Linked DNA regions of Sus scrofa. The protein of the gene in region 2 purifies or fractionates together with the protein of the main gene of each other region. This does not show direct contact. Links are inferred from orthologs where the notes say so. Each region holds a gene or a part of one and is shown on either strand. Other genes may lie near its edges. The genes, in order: CD40, TRAF3IP2, IKBKB and IKBKG.

Region 1 (6,519 bases), on a different chromosome or scaffold from region 2:
TGCAGGTTGTCCTATGGACTTAAGACAATGCAGTTTTTGGTTTTGTTTTTTTGTTTGTTTTTTGTTTTGCTTTTTTTAGGACCACACCTGTGGCATGTGAGGTTCCCAGGCTAGGGGACAAATCTGAGCGGCAGCCACCAGCATCCAAGCTGGGTCTGTGACCTACACCACAGCTCACAGCAACACCAGATCCTTAACCCACTGAGTGAGACCAGGAATCAAACCCACATCTTCATGGATACTAGTTGGGTTCATTACTGCTGAGCCACAGTGGGAACTCCTCAATGCCCTTCTTAGCACTATGCCTAGCAGGTGCTGAGCACTCGGTCCGTGTGTATTCTTAATGGTATCTTGCACAACCCGAGCTCAGGGAGAGGCCACAGCAGAAATGCAGCTGATGTTTGTTAAATGAAAAAGCAATGGAGAGGGAGACCTGGGGAAACAAATGGAGTTGTAGAGTAAAGGTTGCAGGAGGCTGAGGGAGGAAATGCAAGTCCCTAAAAGCCAACCGCGAGGGTCTTCAGACATTGCCTTGGCGCCACCTTCTGGCTAATGTGAGCCTCACACCCACCCATTGATCCACAGGCTAGAGCAGACCCTACAGAGGGCTGATGCTTTTCAGAATTGGCAAGACCCTTAGAACTCATAGAACCCTATCCCTTCATCACATGGGGTGGGGGGAGCCCAGAACCAGAGAGCAGCTTTCACAAGGTCACACAGAAAGTTCCTTGCTGAGCTCTATTTAGAACTCAGAACTTCCTACAGCTGCCAAGAATAACAACGCCTTCCCTTTGTCAGGGATGCTAAGATGTACAAAATTGGACCTTATCATGACTGACCTCTGCTGACTCTTGGGTGGTGGTGGTGGGGGCTGGAGGAGGAGACCTTCTCCAAAAGCAGACTCTGCAACAAGGAAGTTAAGCAGGTAGTTTACTTTAGAATTAAACCCAGAAAGCACCAGTGGAGGGGGCAGGCAGTGGGGAGTGAGACAGAGAAGGGCAAGAAGCTCATGCAGAGAATGTCTGTGACTTGATCATTCTCAGGGACCTAGGAGGCGCTATAGAACACACTATTTGTCCCTCCCAAGGGCAAGGAAGCAGGGGCGTTTATCTTCCAACTTCCACTCCTACTTGGATGGGTATTCTGGGGCTCTAGCTCTCTCAGGTGTGTCTCACCTGCCCCACACCTACACCAAGTGCATCTTCAAAACCAAGGAAGGGCCCAAGGTAAGGGATTCAAAGTGCTTGCAACAGGAAACCAACTATGTATCTAGAAATGCCAGTGCCAAGGGCAGTAGTTCTCAAAGTGCGATCCCTGGACCAGCAGCACCACCTGCGACTCTTGTAGAAATGCAAAGTCTTAGGCTCCATCCCAGACCTGCTAAATCCTTCTGGAGGGGGGGGCCCAGCAATCTGTCTTTTAACAAGTCTCATAGGGGCTTCTGATACACACTCAACATCGAGAACCAGTGACCTAGGAGGGAACAGAGGAAGCATCCAGAGCATCTGCTACGGGGATTGTCTCCATTTGCCAGATGAGCACACTGAGATGCTAAAAGGTCAACATGACCTACCCCAGGTCACACAGATAAGAGGTGGCAGAGGTGGGTCTTTTGTCTCTCTCCACCACACTGTCTTGTACAGAAGTCATGCTAGCATTTAGACTCTAGGTAGGGGGCAAAAGCGAGCTCCCCTCTCCCCACCTCTCCTCCACCTGTTTGCCCTGCTTTCTAAATCAAACATCTCCCCCTGGTGCATCCAAATGGTTCTTGAAGCTCTTCTGGGAAGCCTGCCAAGCCAGGTGCCCCTCTTGTGGCTCCCAGCTGCCCTCATAGCCACCACTGGGGACAAGCCCTCTCCTCCTCCACCCTCTAGGCAGCAGGAGACACTGGGAAATCCAAAGCAACTTGGCACAGGCAGAAAGGGTGAGATCCCTGGGTTCAATCAGCCCAGCTTCCTCCTCCCCATGCATCTTCGTGCTGGGGCTTTGCACTGCTCTTCCTTCCCCTCCTTGTCCTACAACCTTCCTCTCCTCCCCTCTCCCCCCCTCCCCTCTGCTCCCACTCCATCTGCTGCTCCTCCTGGCTAGGCTCCCCCTCAGTTGGCACAGCAGGAAAAGAGAACAGGACGGTTTATTTTTATCCTGAGATACTGCTTGGGGGGAAGGGGGCACCATCTGACTGAGAAGCAGCAGCTCCTAGAGCAGTTGGGAGGTCAAAAGGAGGTGGGACGCCCAGGGGCTCCCCAGGACAGCAGGGGCTGCAGATAGAGGCTCCAGAGAACAAGCAGGGCTGGGAAAAGTAGCAAAGGACCAGGAGTAAGGAACTTGTGTGACACCATTCTGAACTGCTGTGTGACCATAAGTTAGTGACTTCACCTCTCTGGGCCTCCATTTCCACCTCTGTTAAACAAGGAGGGAGGGGCAGAGGGAGGGCAGGATGCTGGCCCAGCCTGCTCCAAAGGCTGCTGTTATTACTGTGAATCAAATAGGGAGAACCCTTTGCAAACACGATGCCAAATGTGAGTGCATACGGAAACTGCCCTGGAGGGGCAGCCGCCTGGGGACATTCTTATTCACCCTCAGAAAGTGCCCTAATTCTGTGAGCCTGACAGCATGCGAAACAGCTCATGTCACCCAGCATGTCCACCCCCATTTTTCTTTTTACATGTTTGATGACTTTTTAATTACATAAGCAGTGTGTGAATTCACTCTCCTTTTAGGGGAAAAAAAAAATGAAGCATTATGGGAAAGTCAGATCTTTCTTTAACCAACCCTCCCCCGTACCCGTCTTCCTCATCCAAGATGTTACAATTCTTTGAGCTGTGCATGTTCTGTGCATTCTCCCAGAAACCCCGCCAGCACCCCATCATACCTACATCTATAAATATACTATGTTTATACACACATCCGTAAAGGATATATTATGTGGGGTTACGTGTTTTAAAAAAAATTTTCTGTGCCCACCATTCCGAAACCTGCTTTTTCCCCCATGACAGTGTTATTGAGATCCTGTTGCATAAACATGTTACAATTTTATTTAGCCAGTCCCCTGTTGATGGACAGTTAAGCAGTTTCCAGTCACTCACTGTCACGAACAATGCAGTGGTGGACAGTCATGTATATGCCTCCTGGGCTCCTAGACGCCATCCCTTGCATCTGCAGGTACTGAACCTCTGGGTTGGAAGCTCTGGTGGTTATTACTGTGGCTGTGACTCCCCAAAGTTTTGTCTCCATCTTTAAAAGCAAACTGAGATTGAATGGGCTCCAGGGCTGGGGTGAGAAGCTCCTCGAGGTGGACTGTATCTGGACTGCAGGGGTGCAGGCAGAGGGGGCTGTGCCCAGCACCACCCTCTCACCACCGCCACAGCAGCAGCAGCCGCCCCGGGCTCTCCAGTCACATGCCCCTGTGCCCGTGCCTCCACGCTCCTGGCCACGCACAGCCTCACTCTCGCTCCTGCACGGAGATGCGGCTCTCTTTGCCATCCTCCTGGGTGACGGGCTGGCACCAATGTAAGGTCTCCTGCACCGGAGCGGTGGAGTCGGGAAAATCCTCCAGATCAATCGTCTCCACGGGATCCTGCCTTTCAGTCTTAGGGTGCAGGGCCTGGGGAGACAAGGCTTGGGGTTACCTCTAGCAACATCTCTGAGCCCTTCCCTGGAAGCGATCCCACCCCTGGCCCCAAGCCCCTTCCCCTTTCACAAAAGGAGGGTCAGTGCCAGTCGATTAAACGGGTGCCTCCTGCCCCCTGCTGGCCATACTGAGGGTGTCAGGAAGCTTTGGTAGCCAGAGCCAGTGGGTTCAAGGAGCTGTCCGTCCAGCACCCACCTATGGACCCCACAGCAAGGCCCCAAAGATGAGGTTGTCGCATGTATCGAATGGGGGAACAGCACATGTCAGACTTTGCCAGTGGGGCAGGGACAGCCCCGTGGGAAGGTGAGCTGGGGAGATGACAAAGCTGGTGCTGAGGGAGTGCAAGGGAGGAGCCCTGGAGCAGAGGGGAGGGGATGAGTAGTCAATTCTGCTGCCACCCGACGGGCTGCAGGAACAGACCCTGAATCAGTTTTGCTGCCATACAGACAACAAGGAGTCAGTCTTTCTTTCCGGTGTGCCCAAACCAAGCCCGTTCCCTGGGGTGACTTACCTTAGTCTCCTGCTCCTTGGTCACCTTTCCTAGAGAGAAGGGGGTGGGGAGAGAGAAAGTGGAGTGGGGAGTCTGTGAGGCCAGATCAGGAAACAGGTGGCCGGTTCTACGGTACCTTCTGCTCCCTCCTCCCCCAGCACCTGCCCGCCTGGGGACTCACTGATACAGAGAAATACCAACAGGACGGCAAACAGGATCCCCAGCGTGATGGGGATAACCACCAGGGCTCTCATCCGACTCTGGAAACCTGGAGAAATGGAGACTTCAGCAATGGCTCCCCACCCCCTGCCCAAAGCCGCTGCGCCCTGCTGGACTCTCAAATCCTTCAGTGTCTAAACTCATCTATATCACAGGTTTCAAACAGGTGGCCCCTGGCAAAACGTAGACAGTAGATGTCTCTAGTGTGACTGGCATGCTTTTTTTTCTTAATATTTGCCAACTTTTTTTTTTTTTTTTTTGTCTTTTTAGGGCCACACCTGTGGCATATGGAGGTTTCCAGGCTAGGGGTCGAATCAGAGCTATAGCCTCCGGCCTACGCCAGAGCCACAGCAATGTGAGAGCCGAGCTGCGTCTGCGACCTACACCACAGCTTATGGCAATGCCGGATTCTTAACCCACTGAGTGAGGCCAGGGATCGAACCCGCGTCTTCCTGGATGCTAGTCGGATTTGTTAACCATTAAGCCACGAAAGGAACTCCTGCCAACATTTTTTAATTGGGAGATTGCATATTTAAAACCTGGATATCTGATTTCTCTTAGAAATTTGGAAGATGCAGCCCCAGGGGGCCCCCCCTGGCACCCACTGGCCAGACCTGAGTGAGAGCAGTCTCCACCAGCTCAGCACACTCCCCACCCCCCACCGCAGCTCTTTTCCTAACACCAAGGTACAGCATCACTTAGGTCCGCACCATTGCCTTGATAGAGAAGAATGCAGTGGAAGGGAAAGCATTTCTTGTACCCGACCTCTATTCTAAATGGGAAAATGAAAGAACGACCAAGAGGCAGGGTGGGGACTGGGACTAAGGCAAGTGACATACTCGTATTGGGACAAAATTTAAGGGGACACTAAACAAACTCAGTAATTAAGATAATAATTTGGGGGGCCACACTTGCAGCATGTGGAAGTTCCTGGGCCAGGGAGTGAACCTGCATCACAGCAGCGAGCCGAGCCACTGCAGTGACAGTGCTGGATCCTTAACCTGCTGAGCCACAAGAGAACTAGACAATACTTTAGTGTCGTGTTTCAAAAAATCATGTCCATGGAGTTCCCGTCGTGGCGCAGTGGTTAACGAATCCGACTAGGAACCATGAGGTTGCGGGTTCGGTCCCTGTCCTTGCTCAATGGGTTAACGATCCGGCGTTACCATGAGCTGTGGTGTAGGTTGCAGACGCGGCTCGGATCCTGCGTTGCTGTGGCTCTGGCGTAGACTGGTGGCTACAGCTCCGATTAGACCCCTAGCCTGGGAACCTCCATATGCTGCGGGAGCGGCCCAAGAAATAGCAAAAAGACAAAAAAAAAAAAAAAAAATCATGTCCATGAACTCTGGCCTACAGGTCAGCTGCCTGTTTTTTAAATAAAGTTTTATTGGAACCAGGGCCAGGATTACGGTGAGGCAGGTGAAGCAAGGTTGTACAAGTGCAGAGTTGCATGTTGTCTTTATTTACAGTGTTGCTACTTTGTTCATTATGGATTTTGCATTAACTTTGATTTTTTTAAAAATATTGAAGAGTTCCCTTGTGGTGCAGTGGTTTAAGGATCTGGCATTGTCAATGCTGCAGCTCAGGCCACTGCTAATGGCACAGGTTTGGTCCCTGGCCTGGGAATTTTCACATGTCACAGGCATGGCCAAAAGAGTATATATTGCATTTTGTCTTAATTACTGCATTTTTCTGGCACCCCCCTAAATACTGTGCCCAAGGTGAGTGCCTCCCTTCACTCTAGTCCCAGGCCCATGGAGAGAAAAGCGAATTTTATGAAAAAGCGCAGAGGGTGTATTCTTTCTGCCCTGACCTTTTTCACTCATGAACATGATCCTGACTTTTTTTTCCCCCCTGTAGTTCTTTGAGTCTGCGATCAGTGCTACAGGCCAGCTTCCTCACTCTAAAATCAAAACAGAGGCCCCGAGGAATTCCCGTCATGGTGCAGCCAAAATGAATCCAACTAGTATCTATGAGGTTGCAGGTTTGATCCCTGGCCTCACTCAGTGGGTCAGGGACGGGGCATTGCCAGGAGCTGTGGTGTAGGTCGCAGATGCATCTCGGATCCCTTGTTTCTGTGGCTATGGCGTAGGTGGGCAGCTGCAGCTCCGATTAGACCTCTAGCCTAGGAACCTCCATATGCCACAGGTGTGGCCCTAAAAAACAAAACAAAACAAAA
Region 2 (7,446 bases):
GGGCCGCACTCTCAGCATATGGAGGTTCCCAGACTAGGGGTCGAATCGGAGCTGTAGCTGCCGGCCTATACCACAGCAACGCAGGATCCAGGCCGCGTCTGTGACCTACACCACAGCTCATAGCAACACTGGATCCTTAACCCACTGAGCAAGGCCAGGGATTGAACCCACAACCTCATGGTTCCTAGTCGGATTCATTAGCCCCTGAGCCACGACGGGAACTCCCACTTTCTCTTTTACATCTCCTGCAGAATACACTCTCCTGGTGGAATTTTAGGCACCAAGGACAAGACACTAGGGAAGCTATTTGGGGGCTCTGATTCTTAAGTCTATCACGTAGGTGGCTGCTGACTTGCACGCCTCTCCTCCTCACACAGTGATGAGTTTGTGTTTCAAAACAGACCTCCACAGACACACAGATTTTCCTTCTTCCTCTCTCCACTTATTCTGAACTACTCAAGAGAACTATATCCTATTTATCTCTCTTCACTGCATGCCTAGCCATAGAGGTTCAATAAATATTTGTTGCATGAAGAAAAAGAAATCTGTTTCCTACTTCCTGGAAAAAGGAGTGATCCCCTAATCATGAATAGAGCCTTTGTGACAGCAAGCCTTGGAAAGGCCACCGTGTCTTCTGGGAGAGCAGAGGAAAGGAAGGAGGTCAATGCGATTTGGAAACAGACCTTGTTCATTCATGTCTCGATGTATTTCACAAATATCTGCCCAGTTGTGTCCTAGGCACTGGGTGGGTGGTAGTGACTACAGCACACGTGGTCCTGTCTTGGTGGAGTTCACAGTCTACTGGAGATAAGCCTCCAGATAAGTAGAAAACAGTAAACAAAATAAAGTCAAAGTGTGATAAAGGAAATAGCCAGGTGTCAGAAGAGACATTATTAGACAGGATGGCCAAAAGAAGGCTTTTGGAGGCGAACCCATCTGGGCTGGGATCTAAAGGATGAGAAGGCCCAGGAAGCCAGGAAATTGGTTATCACCAAGGTCCCGAAAGCAAGCGAGTGGAATGGGAGCTGGATGAGCCGGGAAACAACAATTTGCTAGAGGACGGATGAGGCAAGGGCCGTGGTAAGGAGTTTGGATTTTTTTTCTACATTAAACTTCTTTAGGAAAACAGAAAATGGAACACTGTAATCCTGAATAAGGAACTTAGAACTATACTTGGTGTGTAACGAGCACTCAACAAATGCTAGCCATTTATATATATATGGTACCCAACTAAACTAGCAAGCCTTGGTCAAAACAGTGGAATGGAATTATCGAAACTTGAGCAATGAAAAGATATCCATTTACCCAACAAACATAGTTTTTTATTTCATAACTCTTCCACACAGCCAGCCAAATTCCAGACAAAAATCCGTCAAGTTCCACTTACAAAAAGGAAACCTTATTTTTTGATTGACCCTCTGATATTTAATATTTCTTTGTTTTAAGCAGTCGAAGGACAGCCTAGAGAATTATAATGTCAGTACCATCATTTTAAAAATAGATGAGGTGGATCATTTTCATCTGCTCACATAAACCAGTGTAAGTTTTTATCACAGGTGGCCATTTCAGAAATGAGAGTTACAGCTAATCAAACACTTAGCCCACATGCCTTAGTGATTTTAATGATATGATTTGTTGCTATGAGACAAAAACATGTTGTGCGAGAAATAATCTGTTAGAAATCATATGACCTTGATTCAAAGGCTTTTGATTAACAGTGCTAACATCCGCTTTCTGGAAAAGAAACAAACCCTATGATTAGAGCTGGGTAGTCCTTTTAAAGCAAATAAAACATTATGAGCCACTTATTAATGAATATGGGAAGCAAGACTGGCTCTAAGCATTAAAAACTTTCAAGGCCACTGGCAAAGTTGCTCCTCTTTTATCTTGTACTACTTCCAAATGGAAATAGACAGTCTAGAAGACCCAAGACCTAGCAGGCAAATTGTGTAGTTCTACATGGCTTCTTATGTGTGTGAAGTTGGCTTTGTTACTATTCAGTCTTCATCCATAGTGTGTGTGTGTGTGTGTGTGTGTGTGTGTGAAGTTGGCTTTGTAACTATTCAGTCTTCATTCATTTACTTTTTGAGCATCCCCTGGGGTTTGGCACTGGGCTTGGAGACATGGTGGCAAACAGATGCAGTTCATGTTGTCCTAGAGCTTAGAGTCTAGTAGGGAAGGCAGGCAAGAAATTGACAAGTAAGAGTCATGCTTTCTTATACAAACCTAAATCTGATAAGTGCTTGGAAGAAAATAAAATAGGGAGATGGGATAAGGCATCTGGTGAAGGGGTGGGCCTCTTAGAACAGATGATATCTGAGCTGAGCCCTGAATGTCAAGAAGCTGGTCTGTAAAGATATAGGGCAAAAACATTCTAGGCAGAGAGGATGGCAGACTCAGGGTCCCAGAGGTGGGGACCTGTTTGAGGCGTTCAAGATGAAGAAAGACAGCAAGGGTAGCTGGCGTTTGGTGAGCCTAGGAGAGTGTAGTAGGAGGTGAAATCAAGAAGGACGGGGAGGAGTTCCCATCGTGGCTCAGCGGTTAATGACTCTGACTAGCATCCATGAGGATGCAGGTTCAATCCCTCGCCTTGCTCAGTGGGTTAAGGATCTGGTGTTGCCATGAGCTGTGGTGCAGGTCGCAGATGCAGCTCGGATCCTTCGTTGCTGTGGTGTGGTGTAGGCCAGCAGCTACAGCTCCGATTCGACCCCTAGCCTGGGAATCTCCATATGCCTCGGCTGCAGCCCTAAGACTCCAAGTGGAGAGCTGAACCCCTTGGAATGTATCTGACCTGCCCCCAGGAAGGCTATGAAAGCAAAACCTGGGTGGTATATCTTGTCCTAGACCACAGGGGTCTCCATGGTCCTATCTCCCCATTTTTTTCTTTTTTTTCTTTTTTTAAGGCTGCACCAATGCCATATGGAGGTTCCTGGGATGGGAGTCAAATTGGAGGTGCAGCTGCTGGCCTAAACCACAGCCACAGCCATGCAGAATCCTGAACCCACTGAGTGAGGCCAGGGATTGACTCCACATCCTCATGGATACTAGTCGGGTTCTTAACCCACTGAGCCATGCGGGAACACCTGTCTCCTTATTCCTAGAGGTGCTCTCCAAGTCTTGGTCTTTATCAGCCAGAGACAGGGACCTGGGACAGGCCCAGGCAGATCCTTTTATCCTCTTGCCTTTTCTTTAGCCTCTAATGTTATGACCAGGCCTAAGCAATAGCAGGCCAAGGGTCATGGTCAGGGCCAGGAGACAACCTCGGTTAGAGGGGTGTGGTCAGCTTTGCCAGAGGAAGCATGACGGGAGGGCCCAGCTCATGTCACGGGTCAAAGTAGACAATGGGTTGAACACAGGGAACCCAACCAGGCTTAGGAGACTGGCCTGGACATATTACCAGGGTCACCCAGCCAAGTTTCCTGAGTCTAGACAGTGCGGACCTAGAGGCCACCACATTAGGAAACATATTCTTTGTCTTCTGTTCTGTATTCCCCTAAATGTTCCCCTGAAAACTTCAGTGGTTCCTGACTACTTGCCAAACTAAGAATAAAATTCTTAGCCACATTCTCACCCTCCCCATTCCAGTTCTACCCTGCTTTATATGCTGCTTTCTTTCTCTCTCTCTCTCTCTTTTTTTTTTTTTTTTTTCTTTTTTGGCCACCCTGTGACATAAAGAGTTCCTGGGCCAGGGATCAGATCAGAGCCACAGTTGTGACCCAAGCCGCAGCTGTGGCAACGCCAGATCCTTAACCCACTGTGCCCCGCCAGGGATCAAACCTGCATCCCAGTGCTCCCAACACACTGCCAATCTTGCTGTGCCACAGGAGAAGCTCCAATCTGCTGCTTTCTTGCTCGCCTGCTAGTTTTATTTCACTTTATATCCCTGCATATATCCTACCTATGCAGTAGGCAAATCTGGTTATTACTTTTGTAACCAGAAAAAAGAATAAAGACCAATAAACATCTTTTGAAAAATAAAATTCTTCCTTACCCTAACAAGCTATGCCTCCTCAATCATCCAAATTCTTACTTGGGCAGAAGTGGCATTGCTCAGATCACCAGCAGCTGCTGATGGTTCATTTTGCAGGGTTACCCCTGGCTCTCTCCAGTCCCACTATAGGGTAGGGAAGTCACCCACCCCTGAGGTGCATCCAGTCTCTCAGATTTCCCACACTTGAGCCCCTTTCCTTTGGGCCTGGACAGTTCCCTCCAGAGCCTTCCTCTCCGGCCCCTATTGGGCTCCCTGTACCCCTTCTCTGGACTTCACCTCCCTTCTCTCACCTGCATGGGCACATTGCCCTTCTTCCCTCTGGACCCTGCTGCTCCTCGGCCTGGCTGGGACCAGCTTTCTCCTGGGTTCACCCAATTCACTGCCAGGCCTGACTTTGCTCTGAGATCCACCCTCTTCTAACTTCCCTGCACCCCAGCTGCCCATAGCCTTTAGCAAGGGGGCACCGAGAAAGTTGGGAGGTATTGCCAACTTGGTTGGCTGCTTCCCAGAGTTTGAGCCAGGTTTTCATTCATTTAGTTCTTCCGAAGAGAGTGTGTGTGTGTCCACTCAAGGGAAGGAAAGGAGGGAGTCATGATTCTGTATCTCTCATGAGGATGATTTCTCCTAGCCTTGGGTTCTAAAAACTTGGGGAATTGCGGTAGGATTAGTGGTGACCTAGACTCCGTGGAATGTATCTGACCTGCCCCAGGAAGGCTGTAAAAGTAAAACCTTGGTGGTATATCTTGTCCTAGACCAGAGGGGCCTCTGTGGTCTGTCTCCCCATTCTTAGAGGTGCCTTCCATGTCCCGGTCTTTATCAACCAGGGGCCTGAGATAGATAGGATGGGTTTGGATTACTCTAAGCATTTTTATTTTTTTTCAAATTCATTTTAATTGTTTCATGTTAATTCCATTTAGTTTTTTGTTTTTGCTTTTTTTTTAAAAAAAAAAAAAAAAAAGCTTTTTGTTGCCAACTGTGTTAATATGTTTCTTTCTAAGTGTCTTATTTAAATAGGAACCTGTGTGGAGCTTTGTGGTTTCCAATCAGAACACCAAACTCATGATTTCACGGGTGTTTTTATTGAGGAAAAAAATAAAAACAATGACTCAATGGAATGAAAACTAAATAATAGTAGAGGAAAAAGGCAAACATCTCGGAGGTGGTAAATGATATCCAGAAACCTCCATTGGTAGCAAGACAAACATTGGCACTGAGCTAACCTGCCCCTCCACACAAAGCTACTAGAATCAGTGGTCGCTGTTTTCCTTGCTGTCCTCACCCACAGATGGCCACAACTACCCTCGAGAAGCCTACCAGCAAGTGATCCAGCCTGCTTTCCATGGGCAGGTGCCCCCTGGAACCAGTGCAAGAGGCCCACACCCTGTGCAGAAGGTCTTCCTGAACTATCCCAGCCCCTGGGACCAAGAGGAGATACCTGCAGCAAGAAACTACTCCTCCCCGGGGTTCCCGGGGTATCAGTAAGTGTGATGGGGCCAAATTTCAGGCCGTTTTCACCTGAGAAAGAAGGATGCCAGTGCAACCAAAATGCACAGAACTCTGTTGTTGGGGCCCAGGTTAGTGACTGAGTCACACGGGCTTTCCAGGGCAGGAGGAATCAGGAGCTGGTTGAGAAGAATCTCTTCAGTAGGAGTTCCCATTGTGGCTCAGTGGTTAACAAATCCGACTAGGAACCATGAGGATGCAGGTTCGATCCCTGGCCTCGCTTAGTGGGTTAAGGATCTGGCATTGCCATGAGCTGTGGTGTAGGTCCCAGACTCGGCTCGGATCCTTCGTTGCTGCGGCTCTGGCGTAGGCCGGCGGCTACAGCTCTGGTTAGACCCCTAGCCTGGGTACTTCTATATGCCATGGGTGCGGCTCTGAAAAAAGACAAAAAAAAAAAAAAAAAAAAAGAATATCTTCATTAGATGCATGGAGCCACTGGTGACTAGTCAAGATGCTCTTTTGGAAAGGCTCTTTATATGCTAAGTCACAGCTCTCAGTTCACCTGGCCTTTTAGCTCATGTCATAGGGTTTTACATTTAGTGACAGACTTCCAGTGCTATCAAGTTCTTTTTGCTATCCCTGGTTTCCATACCTGTTAAAACCCATTTCTTTCTTTGAAATTTTAAATTCAATTAGTTCTCAATAGATACTTAAAATAGCCTGTTATTGTCTTTTGTAATAAAAGCATTCCCTGGAGGTCCCATTGTGGCTCGGCAGAAACGAATCTGACTAGCATCCATAAGGACACAGGTTCGATCCCTGGCCTCATTCAGTGGGTTAAGTCTCCGGCGTTGCCGTGCGTGAGCTGTGGTGTAGGTTGCAATGTGGCTCAGATCCCACGTTGTTGTGCCCATGGCATAGGTTGGCAGCTACAGCTCTGATTCGACCCCTAGCCTGAGAAGGTCCATATACCATGTATGCGGTCCTAAAAAGCCAAAAAAGAAAGAGCTTTCCCACATGTTGAACACCATTATTAGATCTCTCCCATACTCCTCCCAGAAAAACAATTTTGGTTTCTCTTGACTTTAACTGTCTAATCCTTTAATCATTGTTCTCTTTGTTGTTCTCTTTGACTCTTCACACTTTCTTTTTCTCTTACTTTATGAATCTAAAACACATAGGAAAAACTCATGTAAATTGGGCTTCCTAATTTATGACAAAATTGGAAAAAGTGTAGATACAGTGTTTGCTCTTATTCAAGCACAACTTTTATATGCCACTCAAAGTAAATCTATATTCTGTTTTGACAATGGAGTGAGATATGACGGTCCTATTAAAGCAGTTTTTTGGGGGTTTTTTTGCAGAAATAGTGAAATCAGTAATTAGCTCAAAAAGTTTATTGAAAGAAAAAAAGCTGACTCTATGTACAATACCAGATAAGTCACATCTGCTTCTCCTCTTTGCTCAAAAGCCAACAAGCCCTCAGATTTTCTTTGCAGACAGATGCTTAATTTTTTACAAACAAAATTGCACGGAATTTAAATAATGGAATTAAGTCATGATTTTACAGCCAGATAAGCACTCGTGCAGAAAAAGTATCTAAAATCCCAAGAACACAAACAAAATTTAAGCATCTTTATGTTTGGTGTTGAATAGGAGAGGTAATAGTAATTTTTAAAATAAATGTTTATTTTGAAATAATTTTAGATTGACAGAAGAATTGCAAATATAGTACAGAGTAAGTGCTTTTGTAACATCAGTTTAAGCCAACTTAAATTGATGATCGCCTTGGATTTTTTTTTTTTTTTTTTTTTTTTTTGGTTTTTTCTAGGGCCACACTCGTGGCACATGGAGGTTCCCAGGGTAGGGGTCCAATTGGAGCTACAGCTGGCAGCCCACACCAGAGCCACAGCAATGCCAGATCCAAGCCGTGTCTGTGACCTTCACCACAGCTCACGGAAATGCCGGATCCTTAACCCATTGACTGAAGCCAGGGATCAAACCCGAAACCT
Region 3 (8,113 bases), on a different chromosome or scaffold from region 2:
TGGTGTTGCCGTGAGCTGTGGTGAGGTCACAGATACGGCTCAGATCTGGCATTGCTGTGGCTGTGGTGTAGGCTGGCAGCTGCACTTCCAATTGGACCCCTAGCCTGAGAACTTCCATATGCTGTGCGTGCAGCCCTAAAAAGACAAAAAAAAAAAAAAAAAAAAAATCTCTTAAACCTGCCCACTCCCCTTCACCTCCACCACCACCAGCCCAGTCCATTCTCATACCAGATTCTCTGAAAACCTCCTGACCGGTCTCCCCACATGACAGGTCAGTGCCAGTGGGGTCCCAGAACCAGATCCCCAGAGCCAAGGGTTAATATTCAGGAATTTGGTGAGAAAGGCTGTTCAGCTGTCAGGGGCTGGAAATAAGGCACGGTGTGGGAGTCATTACCCTGCAGAAGTCAGGGCGTTTTTTTGGACACCGACTTCTTAGCCCAGAACTGCCCGGCCCCCTTCCAGCGAGTGCCCGCAGCCAGAGCGGGACTCCCTTCGGCAGCGTCCTCCTTGGCGGGGCCTGATGCCACCTCTGGCACGTCAGCCAGCCCCTCACCCCTTCTGCTCACATCTGCCTGCCATGACCTAGCCCTCGCCAGGGGCTCCGAACAGGCTGCACCCTCGGCCTGGAACCCCCTGTCCATTTTCTCTGCCTGGCTAACCTCTACCAACCCTTGCGCCTCCCGTGTGGTGCTGCTTTCCTGGAGACCCCCTGGCCTGAGGTCCCACTGCACTGGGCCCCTCTCCCGGCTCACGATTATCACAGTTGGGAGCTTACATCTATAAGACTTGATTAATGGTGCTTTCCCTTCCCCAGGAATCCACTTTATCAAGAAGTGGATGATTTTGTGCCCCAAACACGTGCAGAACATAAACGGAGTCGCTATGGGGGAACAGAAAGAAACCCAAAGGCAGACAGAGCCCAGGCTGATCAAGAACATTTCTGCACAGACAAAAAGGCAGCGCACAGGGGCTGTCGAAGGCAGCCCGGGAGAACCATGCCCACAGGCGGAAGAGACCTGTGCTCGTCTGTGGAGGAGGTGGGTGCAGCCCGTCCTGTAGGAATGGGCAGAATTTACAGCAAGACATCCAGGAGACACAGGCTTGTCCCAGAGGGGGCTCGGCGGACTGATCTGCTGGGAGTCCACAGGGGAGAGGCAGGGAGGGGAGGGGCTTCCAATGGCAGAAGGAGAGCTTGGCTTTTGGCTTTTTTAAAAAAAAAGAGTTCCCACCATGGTGCAGTGGGTTAAGGATCTGACTGCAGCAGCTCAGGTCACTGTGGATTTCGATCCCTGGCCCAGGCAGGGGGTTAAAGGCTCTGGCGTTGCCACAGCTGTGGCTTAGATTCAATCCCTGGCAGCTTCCATATGCCGCGGGTGCAGCCATAAAATAAAAAAAATAAAAATAAAAATTAAGAACAAATTAGGAGTTCCCGCTGTGTCACAACGGGATTGGTGGCATCTTTGCAGCACCAGGATGCAGGTTTGATTCCCGGCCCAGCCCAGTGGGTTAAAGGATCTAGAGTTGCCTTAGGTCGCAACTGAGGCTCGGATCTGATCCCTGTTCTGGGAACTCCATATGCCATGGGGCAGCCAAGAAAGGAAAAAATGAATAAATAAATAAAAAAGAACAAACTAAGTTTCTGAACAGGAGAAGGAACGCAAAAGTAGTAATTCTAGAAGATGAATACACACACACACTCATAGCTGTAAAGCCAGCAACAAACTCCATCTGTTGATAGCTTTTTGAGCCCCGAAAGAAGACAAAGGCCAGTTGGGGTGAGAGATGGCAGACAAGTGGCCCATCCTGACAGTCTGGGTTGGTTTTTTTTTTTGGTTTTTTTTTTTTTTTTTTTTTTTTTTTTTTTTTTTTTGCTTTTTAGGTCTGTACCTGCGGCACATAGAAGTTCCCAAGCTAGGGGCTGAGCCAGAGCTGCAGCTGCCAGCCTATGTCACAGCCACAGCAACTTGGGATGTGAGCCACGTCTGCGACCTACACCACAGCTCACAGCAATGCAGATCCTTAACCCACTGAGTGAGGCCAGGGATTAAACCTGCATCCTCATGGATACTAGTCATGTTTGTAACCCACTGAGCCACTACCAGAACTCCCTTGATAGAAATTTTTTTGAAGGAAGCCAAGATGTATCTAGTCCAGCTGTAGTGAGACCTTTGCTGTAGTCAAGACTCTAAAAGCCCCAGCCTGTGTGCAAGCAGCCCAGCCCAGGTCTGTGTGGGGCAGTGGAAGGATCTGGCTCTCCTGTGGTGAGCTAGGCCTCTGGTTGCCCAGCCAACCACAGGGTTTGCTGGGGTCAGAGTTTCCCAGGCGAGTGTGAGAATTACTGCCTGCCCACCTGACCTCTGCCCTCCAGCTCTGGCCCCCACATTCCTCCAGGGACTGTTCCATCTGCTCAGAGCTGACAGGATACAGTGCAGGGCCTCAAATGTCTTCCAACTGATAGAGAGGGTGGTCTGAAATGCCCCCCCCCCCCGCCGCCGCCCCACCGTGGCTGCCCAGTGGCCTGAATGACCCTCCCTGTGGTAGGAAACCTGCCATCTCTTCAGTCCAGAGATGTGCTTGCCGACCTTGTTTAAAAAGAAGGCGCCCTCCCTCAGGGGCTTTGGGGTTCTGAACTTGGAGTCAAGAAGCTAATTTTAGCTATTTGGTGGGTGATGGCTACCTTCGAGCCAATATACAATACTGGAATCCAAAAAAATTCAGAGGAAATTAAGTCTTCCTGATACTAAGTGTACAGCACCCTCCTCGGATCACCTGTCTCCTCTGACACTCGAGGTACCCCAATGAAAAAGGGCATTCCATGGGCAAGGGGTGGACAGAGGCATGCGGGGACATGGGGCAGGTTCTGTGTGCCCCACTGAGGTAGATTTATAAATGATATTATGCAATTTTTTTTTTTTTTTGGTCTTTTTGCCATTTCTTGGGCTGCTCCTGTGGCATATGGAGGTTTCCAGGCTAGGGGTCAAATCAGAGCTGTAGCCGCCAGCCTACGCCAGAGCCACAGCAACGGGGGATCCGAGCCGAGTCTGCAATCACAGCTCACGGCAATGCCAGATCCTTAACCCACTGAGCAAGGCCAGGGATCGAACCCGCAACCTCATGGTTCCTAGTTGGATTCGTTAACCACTGAGCCATGACGGGAACTCTGATGTTATGCAATTTTAATAACATAACTCATAAGATGGATGAGCAGCTTGGAGATCCCTGTGGAGAATGTCAGTGCATATAACACCAAAGTGAATGGGAATATGGAATAATTAACACTGTGGTGTGAGAAACTCACGGCAGACACATAAGGAATAAAATCAGTGAGGCTCTGGAGTTCCCACTGTGGTGCAGTGGGTTAAGTCGCTGCAGAGACACCAGCTGGGGCAGTGGGTTAAAGGAGCCAGTGTTGCCACGGCCTCGGCTCAGATTCAGTCCTTGGCCCAGGAACTTCTATATGCCGCAGGTGCAACCAAAACAAACAAACCAAACAAACCAAAACCCAGTGAGGATCTCCCAGACTAAAGAAAATCGGTCCAAATGATTTAAAATTGTAAGAACTATTTGAAATGAAGATGTTCATCCATCATCCTTAGCAATAATTCTCACTTTTGTGTGTATCCATATAATTCATGTTGAAGTATGGCAAACAACACTGGGAAGACACCATAATTGGTAGATATTTAAAATATTTTTCAAATTAATTTTTTTTCTTTTTTGGCCGCTCTGTGGCACACGGAGTTCCCCGACCAGTGATCAGATCTGAGCTGTAGTTGCAAACTAAGCTGCAGCTGCAGCAATGCCAAAGCCTTAACCCACTGTCCCAGGCCTGGCATTGAACCTGCATCCTAGCGCTCCCAAAACACCGCCAAAACTGTTGCACCACAGCAGGAACTCCTCAAATTAATTTTTAAAACATAAATAATAAACATTTAGAAATGTTTTATTATTTTCACCCTTTAGATCTTTCTATATTTTGGTAGCTTTCATAATGTGATATATATATTGTGTATATTAGTAGGTGATAGTTTAATGTTAGCATAGCTACGTAATTTTAAATACATAGAATTGAAGCTGAAAGCTTACTTTTTTTTAGGGCTGCACCTGCAGCATATGGAAGTTCCGTGCTAGGGGTTCAATTGGAGCTGCAGCTACTGGACACAGCCACAGCAACTCAGGATCCGAGCACATCTGCAACCTGCACTACAGCTCACAGCAATGTGGAATCCTTAACCCCCTGGGCAAGGCCAGGGATCAAACCTGAGTCCTCATAGATACTAGGCTGGTTCGTTACCACTGAGCCACAAGAGGAACTTTGAAAATTTACTTTGCTTTATTTTTTTAACTATTTATTTAGGTGGCATAGTCAATAAAGCTTGGAGATCCTGAACCTAGAGTCAGGTCAGGAGCCCTTGACGCCCCCTGCCCAGGCTCCTTCTCTCATGAAGTCCATGGCCAAGGCAAGCCCCATTCCCAAGGAGCAGAGGCAGGGAGCAGAAGTCTGCCCCCACAACCCCCCAAACCTGCCACCCCGGCTCTTCCCAGCAGCACAGGGCCTACCTGATTGTGCCATCGGATGACGTTCCCAAATCCCCCTGTCCCAAGCCGTTCTTTCATTTCCCAGGCCCCACATGTTTGGGTTGTCAGGGAAGGTGACCAGCTCATACTGATGTCCTGCTAACTCTGTAAGCAATTCGGGGCGGGGGACAAAAAGTGATGGTTAAGAAAAAAATGGAACTCAAGGGCATGGACAAAGTAAGAGATACCATGGTCCTTCCATGTGAAAGAGAAAAATCGGAACTGGTTTTTATCTTGTAAATAAACCAGGCCGTTTGGTTTTGGTTTTAGTAGGAAACTCCTGTCTTCCCCCCCACCCCCAACCTCCCGCCCCCCCTCAAGCTGCATGGAAGCAGAAGGGAGGAGAGGCCCTCAAACTACAAGACCTGAAAGGGGATCCCAAGCCGGACCCCGGCCGGGCGCCCTGCCCTGGTGGCTGGGACGCCTCCCCTTCAGCTCCCCGCGGTCTTGCGTCACCGCGGCGTGGACGAATCACGGCCCCGGCCCGGGCTCCCACCTCGCTGCCACCACCCGGCGCCACCCCGCCAGGGCCGGGCTCGGGGGGCCTTCAGCTCCCACCCCCAACAGGAACTCGCCGACTCAGGCCCCACGAGAACATCTCCGGGGGCCTCGGAGAGATGGGGTGCTAACTCGCCCGGCAGGTGACACCGGCCGCCCGCCCGAGGGACTCACCTGGCGGCGGGACGCGGGCGGGGGCGCGGGTGGGGGCGCCACCCCAAAGACATTGAAGTGCGGGAACCTCCAACCCACCCGCTGAGCGCCACTTCCTCAAACACTTCCTGCTCTGACGTCACGGAGCACGTGGCGCGCGGCCCAGGCCACGCCCATCCCCGCCCCCGCTCCGCCCGCCCGGCTGGGGACCAGCCCTAAAACCCATCGTAAAAGGCGGGAGTTTCCTTTAGAAGTACAGCTTGGACCTGAGCGGTTCCTGGGACCGGGTAGATGGGGATTTCCTCACCCAGCCCTTCTGGGGTCAGCCTGACCTGCTTCCTAGACTTATTATGGGGGGAATTTCCCAGCCCCCGCCGGGATTGATTTAGGGACAGTTTACAAGAATTGCCGTGGCAGTCTGTCCTGGGGGCCGTGCTCCCTCGCCCCCCTGTCTGGAGGCTCCTTGGCTCTTTTCATAAATCACACCTGTAGTCCCTAGACGTGACAGTCCCCTCTCCACCCTTAAAAAAATAAAGAATGGGGGGAAAAATCTGGTGGTTTAATACTAAACTGCAGTTTCAGCCCCAGGGACGTGCGGAAATTTTGAGAATAGCTTTCAGTCCCGGGGTTAATGATTCTCACCTCCCTACTTGGCATCATAAGGGTGTGTGTGTGTTGGCAGGAGAAAAAGCATCAAAGGCAACCTGAGGAGTGCTTATTAAGTGCCAGGCACTGTCTAAACTCTGTACTTGGGTTTCCTCATTCAATCCTCAAGGGAAACCTACAAATTGGACAGTAGTGCAGTATTATTACCCCCATTTAACAGATGAGAAAACTAAAGCACAGAGAAAAAAGTCTTTATCCCCAAATCACAGACTGGTAAGTGGATGATGATCAGATACTCAGCCCCCAGCAGCTAGTTCTTGGGCCCAAGTTCTTAAAAGGCTGTAAAAGTAGGATACAAATAGGTTTAGAAGGAAGCAAACGGGATTTTGAATGCAGATACTGCTGTTGATTACCTCTGACGCATTAGGACAAGTGGCCTGGACCACTCCAGGCATCCATTTCTCTTCCTTGAAATGTTGGCAACTGGAGTTCCTATTTTGGCTCAGTGGGTTAAGAACATAACGTAGTCTCCATGAGGATGTGCATTTGATCCCTGGCCTGGCTCAGTGGGTTAAGGATCCTACGCAAGCTGCAGCATAGGTCACACATCTGGCTGGGATTTGGCGTGGCTGTGGCTGTGGCATAGGCCAGCAGCCGCAGCCCCTATTCCACCCCTAGCCCGGGAACTTAAAAAGAATAAAAGATAAAATGTAGGCCACATTAATGGATGGATTAGTGAAATATGACAGAGGAAGACAATACTGTATGTTATGTATCTAAAAAAACCAAACTAATGACTATAACTAAAAAGAAACAGACTCATAGATACAGAGAACAAACTAGTGGTGACCAGTGAGGAAAGGGAAGGGGAAAGAGGCAAGATGGGGTAGAGGAGTGAGAGGTACAAACTGCTATTTATGAAAGAAGCTACGAGGATATATTGTACAGCACAAGGACCATAGCCAATGTTTTATGACTGTAATTTTTTTTTTTTTTTTTTTTTTTTTTTTTTGCTTTTTAGGGCTGCACCCATGGCATACGGAGGTTCCCAGGCTAGGGGTCGAATTGGAGCTGTAGCCGCCGGCCTACACCTGGGCCACAGCAACTCGGGATCTGAGATGCATCTGTGATCTACACCACAGCTCACTGCAACCCTGGATCCTTAACCCACTGAACAAGGCCAGGGATGGAACCAGCAACCTCATGGTTTCTAGTCAGATTCGTTTCCACTGAGCCACAACAGGAACTCCGACTATAAATATTTTGAATCACTATGTTGTATACCTGAAATTAATATAATTTGTAAATCAGTATACTCCAATAAAGTAGAAATAATTTAATAGAATATTTAAATAATAATACATATTTAAAAAATAATAATAACTTAGGAGTTCCTGTCGTGGCTCTGGAGAAACGAAACCAACTAGTAGCCATGAGGATGTGGGTTCAATCCTTGGCCCCGAGCAGTGGGTTAAGGATCCGGTGTTTCTGTAAGCTGTGGTGTAGTTTGCAGATGAGACTCGTATCTGGCGTTGCTGTGGCTGTGGCATAGGCCACCAGCCTGGGAACTTCCATATGCCATGGGTACGGCCCTAAAAAATAATAATAAGAAGAAGAAGAATAATTTAAATGTAGGCAATATTAGATGAGTTGTATGAGATTGTCATTTTTTATAAAACAGAAACAATTGAAACATCAGCAACATCAGCATCAGGTTTAGCCTAATCAGAGCAGCATGAGGCAGGAGGTGCCAGGGGGGCTATTGTGAAGGACAGATGATAAGATGGCAAGGGCTGTGCCTGACACAGAGGACCCTCCTGCTTGAACAGAGCCCAAGGCTCTAGTTAACTCCTAGGAACACTTTTCAGTCCAAACTGGAGGGGTCAGTGGACCCAGGGCTGCTCTAGGCACGCCAGGACATTCATTATTTCTCCACTTATCCTATTGTCTCTGCTAAATAGCACACTTGGCTTCAAGGCAGGAAGAGAAAGAAACATGGGTAAACAGTTGTAAAACACCAGAATAGTGCCTGACATATTTGTTAAGTGCAAAGTATTTCTCTAATAAATCAACTTTTAAAATAAATTTATTTTCTAGAGTTGGCATGTGATCCAGCCATCCCACTTCTGGGTATATATCCAGACAAAACTATAATTCAAGAAGATACATGCAACCCATGTTCACAGCAGCACTAGTCACAAAGCCAAGACATGGAAGCAACCTAAGTGTCCACTGACAGATGAGTGCATTAAGAAGATGTGGTATATATGCACATAAC
Region 4 (7,140 bases), on a different chromosome or scaffold from region 2:
GCCCGGTGGCTGCCGTCCAGGGAGACGGGTCCAGGCGGCAGGGCTGGCCGCAGCTCTCCCGGTGCGCTGGGCGCTGCGCCCGGAGGCCCGAGGCGTTTCCCAGCGCGGCGTTTAGACGCCCCGCCATCCTCAGAGCGAGCGGGGAGCCTCCCTCTAGAAAGCAGGCGGCGAGGGCGTGTGTGTGGCAGGGCCGAGCCCGCTGGCCTGGTCGCCTTCCCGGTTCCCCGCCGGGCTCGTCTCTACCCCCACTTCTCTAAGAGGCACGTGTGTCATTTCTAGGACACTGCCACGTGTTTCTTGCCTTTTTTCTGTGCACATAAAAGAGACTGCTGGAGGCGTGACGCTGTCTGCAGTTTTGTGGCTGACTCTGCTCAGTTAATGACCCCGCAGTTGCAGGCTCTGGGCATCTTCCTCTCTTGTCCCCCCACGTGGCTGAGATGGAAATGCTGGCTGGCAGCTCAGGGCAGGGAGCCTGCTTGCGTCTCCCATCGCTCGGTGTGGCCATTTAAACAGATCCAGACTTCGTACATGTGGCGGCCCTTTGAGCGCCAGGCCTGTCACATCAGAACGGCTGTCCTCCTTGTTCTCGGGCCCCTGGCAGACAGCACTTCCGTCTGGCGATGACAATGCCGGCAGCTAAGTTTTGTCGGGTCACAGATGGACATCTGAGTTGGATATAGCTGGCCAGGTGTGGAGATGAGACCAGAGGAGAGGGCCAGGAGCCGCCCCCCACTCAGAACAGCCACTGTCGCCCCCGGGACACAGGATGACGTGGCTGCAGCCTGGAGCTGGGGATGGAGGGAGCTGTGAGCAGACATGAGTGTGGAGATGCGAGGCGGGGCCGTGGGGTGACGGGCCCCCATCAGAGGGTCAGGCCCCTTGGGGGACCCGGGTGAGGAGAGCCGAGCTGTCACAGCTTGAGTGTGGATGGATCCAGGATCTTCTCCCGGGCAGGCAGGTGGGAGGATCTCGCAGATGTAGACGTTTGGGACTCCAGATGGGCCAGCCAGCCACCTCCTTGCCACTGTTAGAGCGGTGGTGGCGGGCGGGGTGGGGGAGCCGTGGAGCCACTGACCCCACTTTCCACCCCCCACCCCCGCCTCACCTCACTTCTCACCTGCGCCCGCCCCACCTTCTAGAAAGGCTGTCTTTGCTGACTGGCTCTACTTCCTTTCCTCCACTGAGATTGCTCTGGCCATGGCCCCCAGCACCCACCTCTCGGAACCCCACGGGCAGGTCCCTGGGGCTTCTTTCCCCTGGGACCCCCTCCTTCACCCCTGGCCCCAGTGCCTTCTGCTGCAGTCTTTCTTGGTGCTGCAGGGTTCCTCGAGCACTTTTGCTCCTGCTGGGGCCCTCCGGTGACCTCCCCTTCCTGCCACCAGGGTTCGCGCCACTAGCGAGCAGGTCCGGCAGCTGGAGAACGAGCGGGAGGCCCTGCAGCAGCAGCACAGCGTGCAGGTGGACCAGCTGCGCCTGCAGAGCCAGAGCATGGAGGCCGCCCTGCGCATGGAGCGCCAGGCCGCCTCGGAGGAGAAGTGAGTGCCGGCTGCGGCGGCCTTTGCCTGCCCGCGTTCAGATCTACCCTCTGGCCCACGTGTTCAAAGCCTCGGGGCCGGGGTCCTGTGTGCCACTTGCATGCCCTTTGAGTCTTCTTTAGTCTAGACCGTCCTTATGCTTTTCCCGATTTTTAATGGAGTTGACTTTTAAAATATATTTTTTATGTTTTTTTTTTGGTCATGTCTATGGCATGCGGAAGTTCCCGGGCTAGGGATCGAACCCAAGCCACAGCAGTGACCTGAGCTGTGACAGTGCCAGTGCCAGATTGTCTTAACCCACTAGGCCATCATGGACGTCTAAAGCTGACTTTTTTTTTTTTTTTTTTTTGTCTTTTTGCCATTTCTTGGACCGCTTCCGCAGCATATGGAGGTTCCCAGGCTAGGGGTCGAATCGGAGCTGTAGCTGCCGGCCTGCACCACAGCCACAGCAACGCGGGATCCGAGCTGCATCTCGACCCACACCACAGCTCACGGCAGTGCCGGATCCTTTAACCCATTGAACAAGGCCAGGGATCGAACCCGCAGCCTCGTGGTTCCTAGTTGGATTCGTTAACCACTGAGCCACGACAGGAACTCCAGGAACTCCTATTTTTAATTTTTATTAAAAAATGTTTCTGGTGGCTCAGTGGGTTAAGGATCCAGTGTTATCACTGCTGTGGCTCAGGTTGCTGCTGTGGTGCAGGTTTGATCCCTGGCCCAGGAACTTCCACATGCCACAGGTATGGCCAAAAAAAAAAAAAAAAAAAAGTTTCTTTTGGCCGTGTCGTGGCAAGGGGCAGTTCCCAGGCCAGGGATTGATGCCAGTGCCGCATCCTTAACGCAGTAGGGCCACCAGGGAACTCCGAGGACAGCTGTATCTTATTATAAGTGTTTCTTCTGATGCTTTAAAAAATGCTACATTGAAGAAAAGTGATGTCAACGAGTTGGCAAAGCTTGCCTCGCGGCTGACTGACGGCCTCTGAGGCGCAGAGCCCTCCCTGGAAGGCACATTGTGTAGTGCGGAGACGGTGAGAAGGCAGAGGCTGCAGGTGGAAGCAGTGAAAGCCATGGCTGGGGCAGGACCGGGTGGTTCTCCAGCCAAAGCTCCTTTGCCTCAGGCGGAAGCTGGCCCAGCTGCAGGTGGCCTACCACCAGCTTTTCCAGGAGTATGACAACCACATCAAGAGCAGCGTGGTGAGCAGCGAGCGCAACCGAGTGAGTGTTTGGGGGCGGGTGTCCCCCAGGCTGCCTGGGGCTGACCTAGCCCTGCTGCTCTCCCTGCAGCCTGGGACCAGGGGAGCTCCCCCTTCGGGCAAATCCCAGGCCCCACCTTCCCAGACCCGGGAGCAGCCCAGGGGGTTGGTGACGCTGCTGTCCGTGGCGGGTCTCTCCCGCCGGCTGTCGGCGCCAGCTTGGCACCTGGCTTGGCTTTCTCTCAAAATGTCTCCGTATTACCGTTGGGGGGCGCTGGGAGCCCTTTTCTAGGTTGTCCTCATCTAACCTGCACGGGGTGCGGTTTCTAGTGATCACCTTTTAAGAAGGACGCCGTCCAGCGTGAACTTGTCTGGAAGAGACCTGTAAGGGTAGAGCCTGGTCACGTGAGAAAGAGTCAGTTACAAAACCGTGACCCTTTGGTCTGCAGAGGGAGGGAGGGCTGGATGGTCTGTGAGTGGTCTGTGTGTGCGTGTGTGCGTGGGGGGGGGTCGTGTGTGTGTGTGTGTGTGTGTGTGTGTGTGTGTGTGTAGGGGGGGTCATGGGTCATGTGAGGGACAGCAGACCTCTGACCAGGTGGCAGAGTGGAAGGACCCATGGGCCTCAGCTGAGCTGGCATGTGGTGGCGCATTAGTGCATGGGACCCGCTCAGGACAGACGGTGGCCCGTGCCCCTCGCCCCTCGCCCCTCGCCCCTCGAAGGGCCGGAGGAGGGCTGTCCGCCGGGAAGGGCGAGGCAGCGCTCCGGCCTCGCCTCCGCTTTCCGGGGCTGCGCGCACAGCGATGCCCCGGGCGCGGCCTGGCAGCCGGGCCGGTCTTGGTTCCTCTTGGTTCTTGCCTGGCGTGGCAGCCGGCCTGGGCCAGCTCGGGCTGCTAGCCCCTCGCCCGTCTCTAGGGATTGCAGCTGGAAGACCTCAAGCAGCAGCTGCAGCAGGCCGAGGAGGCCCTGGTGGCCAAACAGGAAGTGATCGACAAGCTGAAGGAGGAGGCCGAGCAGCACAAGATTGTGATGGAGACGGTTCCGGTGCTCAAAGCCCAGGTGAGCCTGGCCTGGGGGGCCTGCCTGGGGGCCTGGCCTGGGCGCGCTGTGACTTCGAGGCCCTCGCGGTGTTCCTGGACCCCTCCGGGCCCTCGGGGTGACCGGCTTCGCGCCACGGGCTCTGGGGGGGCAGGAGCGGGTTCTGCCGGTGCCCCGGCAGCCGCGTCTGGCAAGAGGCCGACGGCCGGCGGGCGCTGCCCCTGTCTTGGCTCTGCCAGGCCGACATCTACAAGGCGGACTTCCAGGCCGAGCGGCAGGCCCGGGAGCAGCTGGCTGAGAGGAAGGAGCTCCTGCAGGAGCAGCTGGAGCAGCTGCAGAGGGAGTACAGCCGGCTGAAGACCAGCTGCCAGGAATCGGCCAGGTGGGGGCGCTGGGGCCGGGCCTCCCCCTCCCCGCCGCCCTCCCGCCCCGTCGGCTTCCCCGCGGGGGAGACTGGCTCGTCCCTGCTGATCGGACGGTTTCTCTTCTCCAAGGATCGAAGACATGAGGAAGCGGCACGTCGAGGTCTCCCAGCCCACCTTGCCCCCCGCCCCAGGTGAGTGAGCCCGGGGGCCGGGGGGGGGCTCGGGGGGCAGCTGCACCCGCCACCCCTCCCCCTCAGGGCTGCTGATCCCGCTCATTGGATCCCAGGGTCCCATGGAGTCCCTGTCCTCTGCCCCCTGCAGTTTGCGCGTGGGGACGCCCGCGGAGCCCGCCCCCACGGTGCCCGCTCTTTCTCCGCAGCTCATCACTCCTTTCACCCGGCCCTGCCCAGCCAGAGGAGAAGCCCCCCCGAGGAGCCCCCCAACTTCTGTTGCCCCAAGTGCCAGTACCAGGCTCCCGACATGGACACCCTGCAGATCCATGTCATGGAGTGTATCGAGTAGGCCGCCCGCCGCCGGCCAGCCCAGGACGCTGCGCTCTCCTGCTCCGAGACTGAGGGTGGCCCCTTCTCTGGGCCCCGGAGCCAGCTGCGGGCCTCACGCCTCCGCCCCGCCTGCTGGTCGACCTCTTTCTGGGCGCACGGAGCCCAGCCAGGCCTGACGCTCTGCTCTTTCTGTTTGTTCTGTCTGCTTGAACCGCTTGTCTCTGGAGCTCGCTCATCCTCTGCCTGCACCAGCGAAGTCAGGAGTGAAGGCCGGGCTCTCGGAAGGAGCTGCTTCCCCGGCCCAGACGGGCGGGACCCCTCCTGCCAGCCGCCTGGCACAGGGCAGCGCCGCGGGCGTGGGCTGAGTGGTGGCCTGGTGGCGGCTGCGCCGAGTTGGATCGAACCTGTCCGCTGCCCATGGACACTGGGTTTGTTACCGATCATCGTTTTATGGTCATAAATGACTCTGCACTGCAAAGCCCTGGCCATCAATCGTGTGTACCTCTGAGTTGGCTTCTTAGAAGCAGCACCCCTGAGCTTCTGCAGAGGGGCTAGTCGTGCCGGGGTCCTTCCCCCAGGAGTGGTTTCGTGCCCCGTAGCCTTGCCCCACGTCAGGGGGGTCCAGCCCGTGGGCTTGTGCCATCTGCCAGACGTGCTCTTCTCTCGTAAGAGTGAGCATAGGAGTTCCCCTTGTGGCTCAGCAGGTTAAGAACCCGATGTAGTCCCTGTGAAAATTCGGGTTCGATCCCTGGCCTCGCTCAGTGGGTTAAGGATCCGGTGTTGCCATGGCTGTGGTGTGGGCTGGCGGCTGCGGCTCCGATTCGACCTCTAGCCTGGGAACCTCCATATGCCGCAGGTGTGGCCCTAGAAAGAAAAATAAAGAAAAGAGAGTTTGAAGCTTGAAGGAGTTCTCCAGTGGCCTCGCAGTTAAGGATATGGAGTCGTCACTGTCGTGACGCTGGTTTGATTCCTGGCTCAGGCACTTTCGTATGACGCGGGTGAGGCAAAAAGAAAGCTTGAGCATCTTTCCAGAGCTCGAAGGGTCCTTTTCAGTCGTTCTAGTATAAATGGCTTTTTTCCATCATTTTGCCCTGTTTGCTGCTGGACTGTTGGTCTTTTGTTCCTTGACTTCTACTAGAGGCTCTTGACTCGTTAGTGGGATGGAGTGAGAGGAATTGCAGTTATCTTTTCCCACCAACTTGGTGCTGGTGTGTTTGGACTCGAGCTGGTTCTCTTCGTGTAGTCACATTTCTCCACTGTTCCGTCACGGCTTTGGGTTTGCTCAGACGTTTTCCCAGCACTGCAGTGTGTGCCTTGTCCTCCCCAGAGCACTGCCACACAACCAGCGCAGGGGGGCGTGTTTCATCACCTTCCAAAAGTCTCTCATGCTGTTCTTGCACCAGCCCTGCATGGCCTGGCCTTGCCAGTGGCAGCCACTTGGTAATCTTTGGCAGACTGCCAACAGCGCAGGCCTCTTGCGTGTTGTTCTGCAAGATTCTGGCTCTTTCCGAGGCTGTCAAAGCCATGGGCGTTGGCCTTGCAGTTGTCAGGAAGGATGTCCCCCCCGCTGCTGCCGAGGGCTGGCCTGCTGGGGAGTGGAGGTCACGGGCCCAGCCCCGGCTTTTGTCCAGGGCCCCCTGCTCCCTAGGGTCGGGGTCTGGGTCTCCTGCTGGAAGCCGGCCCAGCCAGCGGCCTGTTCTGAAAGCAGAGCCTGGCCTGGGGACTTGCTTGTCAGCTGCAGGTGTGGGAGGAAGACCCAAGCGGGGTGGAAGGAGGGGGGGGCGCTGGGGGGCGAGCGATCCTCAGGACCTCTGCTCTGCAGCTGGATGCCACTGCCGGGGTGATGGGCGTGGAGCTGCTGGGCCGCCTGCACCCTGGGTGCTGGGACTGTGCTGCTGAGAGGGGCTCAAGGAGGAGGCAGGACGCGGGCCCCCCCCCCAACCCGCCGGGGCTCTGGCGGTGGCGCCCCCAGAGGCTGCCCAGCAGCGGCCGGGAGCCTCCCATCGCCCCCGCCTGGGCCCTGGGGGGCCACTGCTCTTTCGGACCTTCTATTCCCGGAGGCTGGGCGCCCTTGCTCGCTGCCACCTTCTCCGTGTCGGGCCGAGCGTCCGTTAGAGACCCAGGGTCTGAAAGCAGGCCGGTGGCCCGGAAATGAGTGATTCCACTGTCTCTCTGGCTTTCCTTAGGTTGGGCTTCCGGAACAAGTGGCCGGATTCTTGCCATGAGGGAAGCCGCTTGCCCACCTTATTAGCTGTGGCCCCTTGCTCGTCACCGTCCTGGGTGTGGGAGGGAGAGAGACGGCTGGACGCACAGCCCCGGTGTCGCTCCCCGCTGCTCCACAGCGAGCCAGCCAGTAAGAAAGGAACCCAGACGAAATGGGACGTCAACATAGCAACCAGTGAAGACTTCTGGTGCCTTCCTGGCAAGGGGCAGGGACAGGCCTGGGATGTCGCCCCTTCTGTGGGACGGAACAAGCACTTAGGGACAGTGGGTACCCACAGAGACTTC

What was found.
Region 1: the proteins of TRAF3IP2 (region 2) and CD40 purify together in Homo sapiens (affinity purification with western blotting, with the first as the bait; 3 studies listed by BioGRID). This does not show direct contact. The link is inferred for Sus scrofa from reciprocal best matches to the Homo sapiens genes TRAF3IP2 and CD40.
Region 3: the proteins of TRAF3IP2 (region 2) and IKBKB purify together in Homo sapiens (affinity purification with western blotting; 3 studies listed by BioGRID, with this or other methods). This does not show direct contact. The link is inferred for Sus scrofa from reciprocal best matches to the Homo sapiens genes TRAF3IP2 and IKBKB.
Region 4: the proteins of TRAF3IP2 (region 2) and IKBKG purify together in Homo sapiens (affinity purification with western blotting; 3 studies listed by BioGRID, with this or other methods). This does not show direct contact. The link is inferred for Sus scrofa from reciprocal best matches to the Homo sapiens genes TRAF3IP2 and IKBKG.

The regions. Positions count from the first base shown.
Region 1 is NC_010459.5:48,294,682-48,301,200, reverse strand, and holds the end of CD40 (tumor necrosis factor receptor superfamily member 5 precursor), read right to left. Parts: intron 4,390-6,519; coding exon 4,303-4,389; intron 4,172-4,302; coding exon 4,143-4,171; intron 3,605-4,142; coding exon 3,443-3,604; 3' UTR 3,013-3,442; downstream 1-3,012.
Region 2 is NC_010443.5:77,508,640-77,516,085, reverse strand, and holds part of TRAF3IP2 (adapter protein CIKS), read left to right. Parts: intron 1-5,276; coding exon 5,277-5,469; intron 5,470-7,446. UniProt on the Homo sapiens protein: E3 ubiquitin ligase that catalyzes 'Lys-63'-linked polyubiquitination of target protein, enhancing protein-protein interaction and cell signaling. Transfers ubiquitin from E2 ubiquitin-conjugating enzyme UBE2V1-UBE2N to substrate protein.
Region 3 is NC_010459.5:11,286,886-11,294,998, reverse strand, and holds the start of IKBKB (inhibitor of nuclear factor kappa-B kinase subunit beta), read right to left. Parts: upstream 4,666-8,113; coding exon 4,561-4,665; intron 1-4,560.
Region 4 is NC_010461.5:125,049,116-125,056,255, forward strand, and holds the end of IKBKG (NF-kappa-B essential modulator), read left to right. Parts: intron 1-1,382; coding exon 1,383-1,535; intron 1,536-2,653; coding exon 2,654-2,750; intron 2,751-3,641; coding exon 3,642-3,785; intron 3,786-4,003; coding exon 4,004-4,146; intron 4,147-4,258; coding exon 4,259-4,320; intron 4,321-4,508; coding exon 4,509-4,651; downstream 4,652-7,140. UniProt on the Homo sapiens protein: Regulatory subunit of the IKK core complex which phosphorylates inhibitors of NF-kappa-B thus leading to the dissociation of the inhibitor/NF-kappa-B complex and ultimately the degradation of the inhibitor.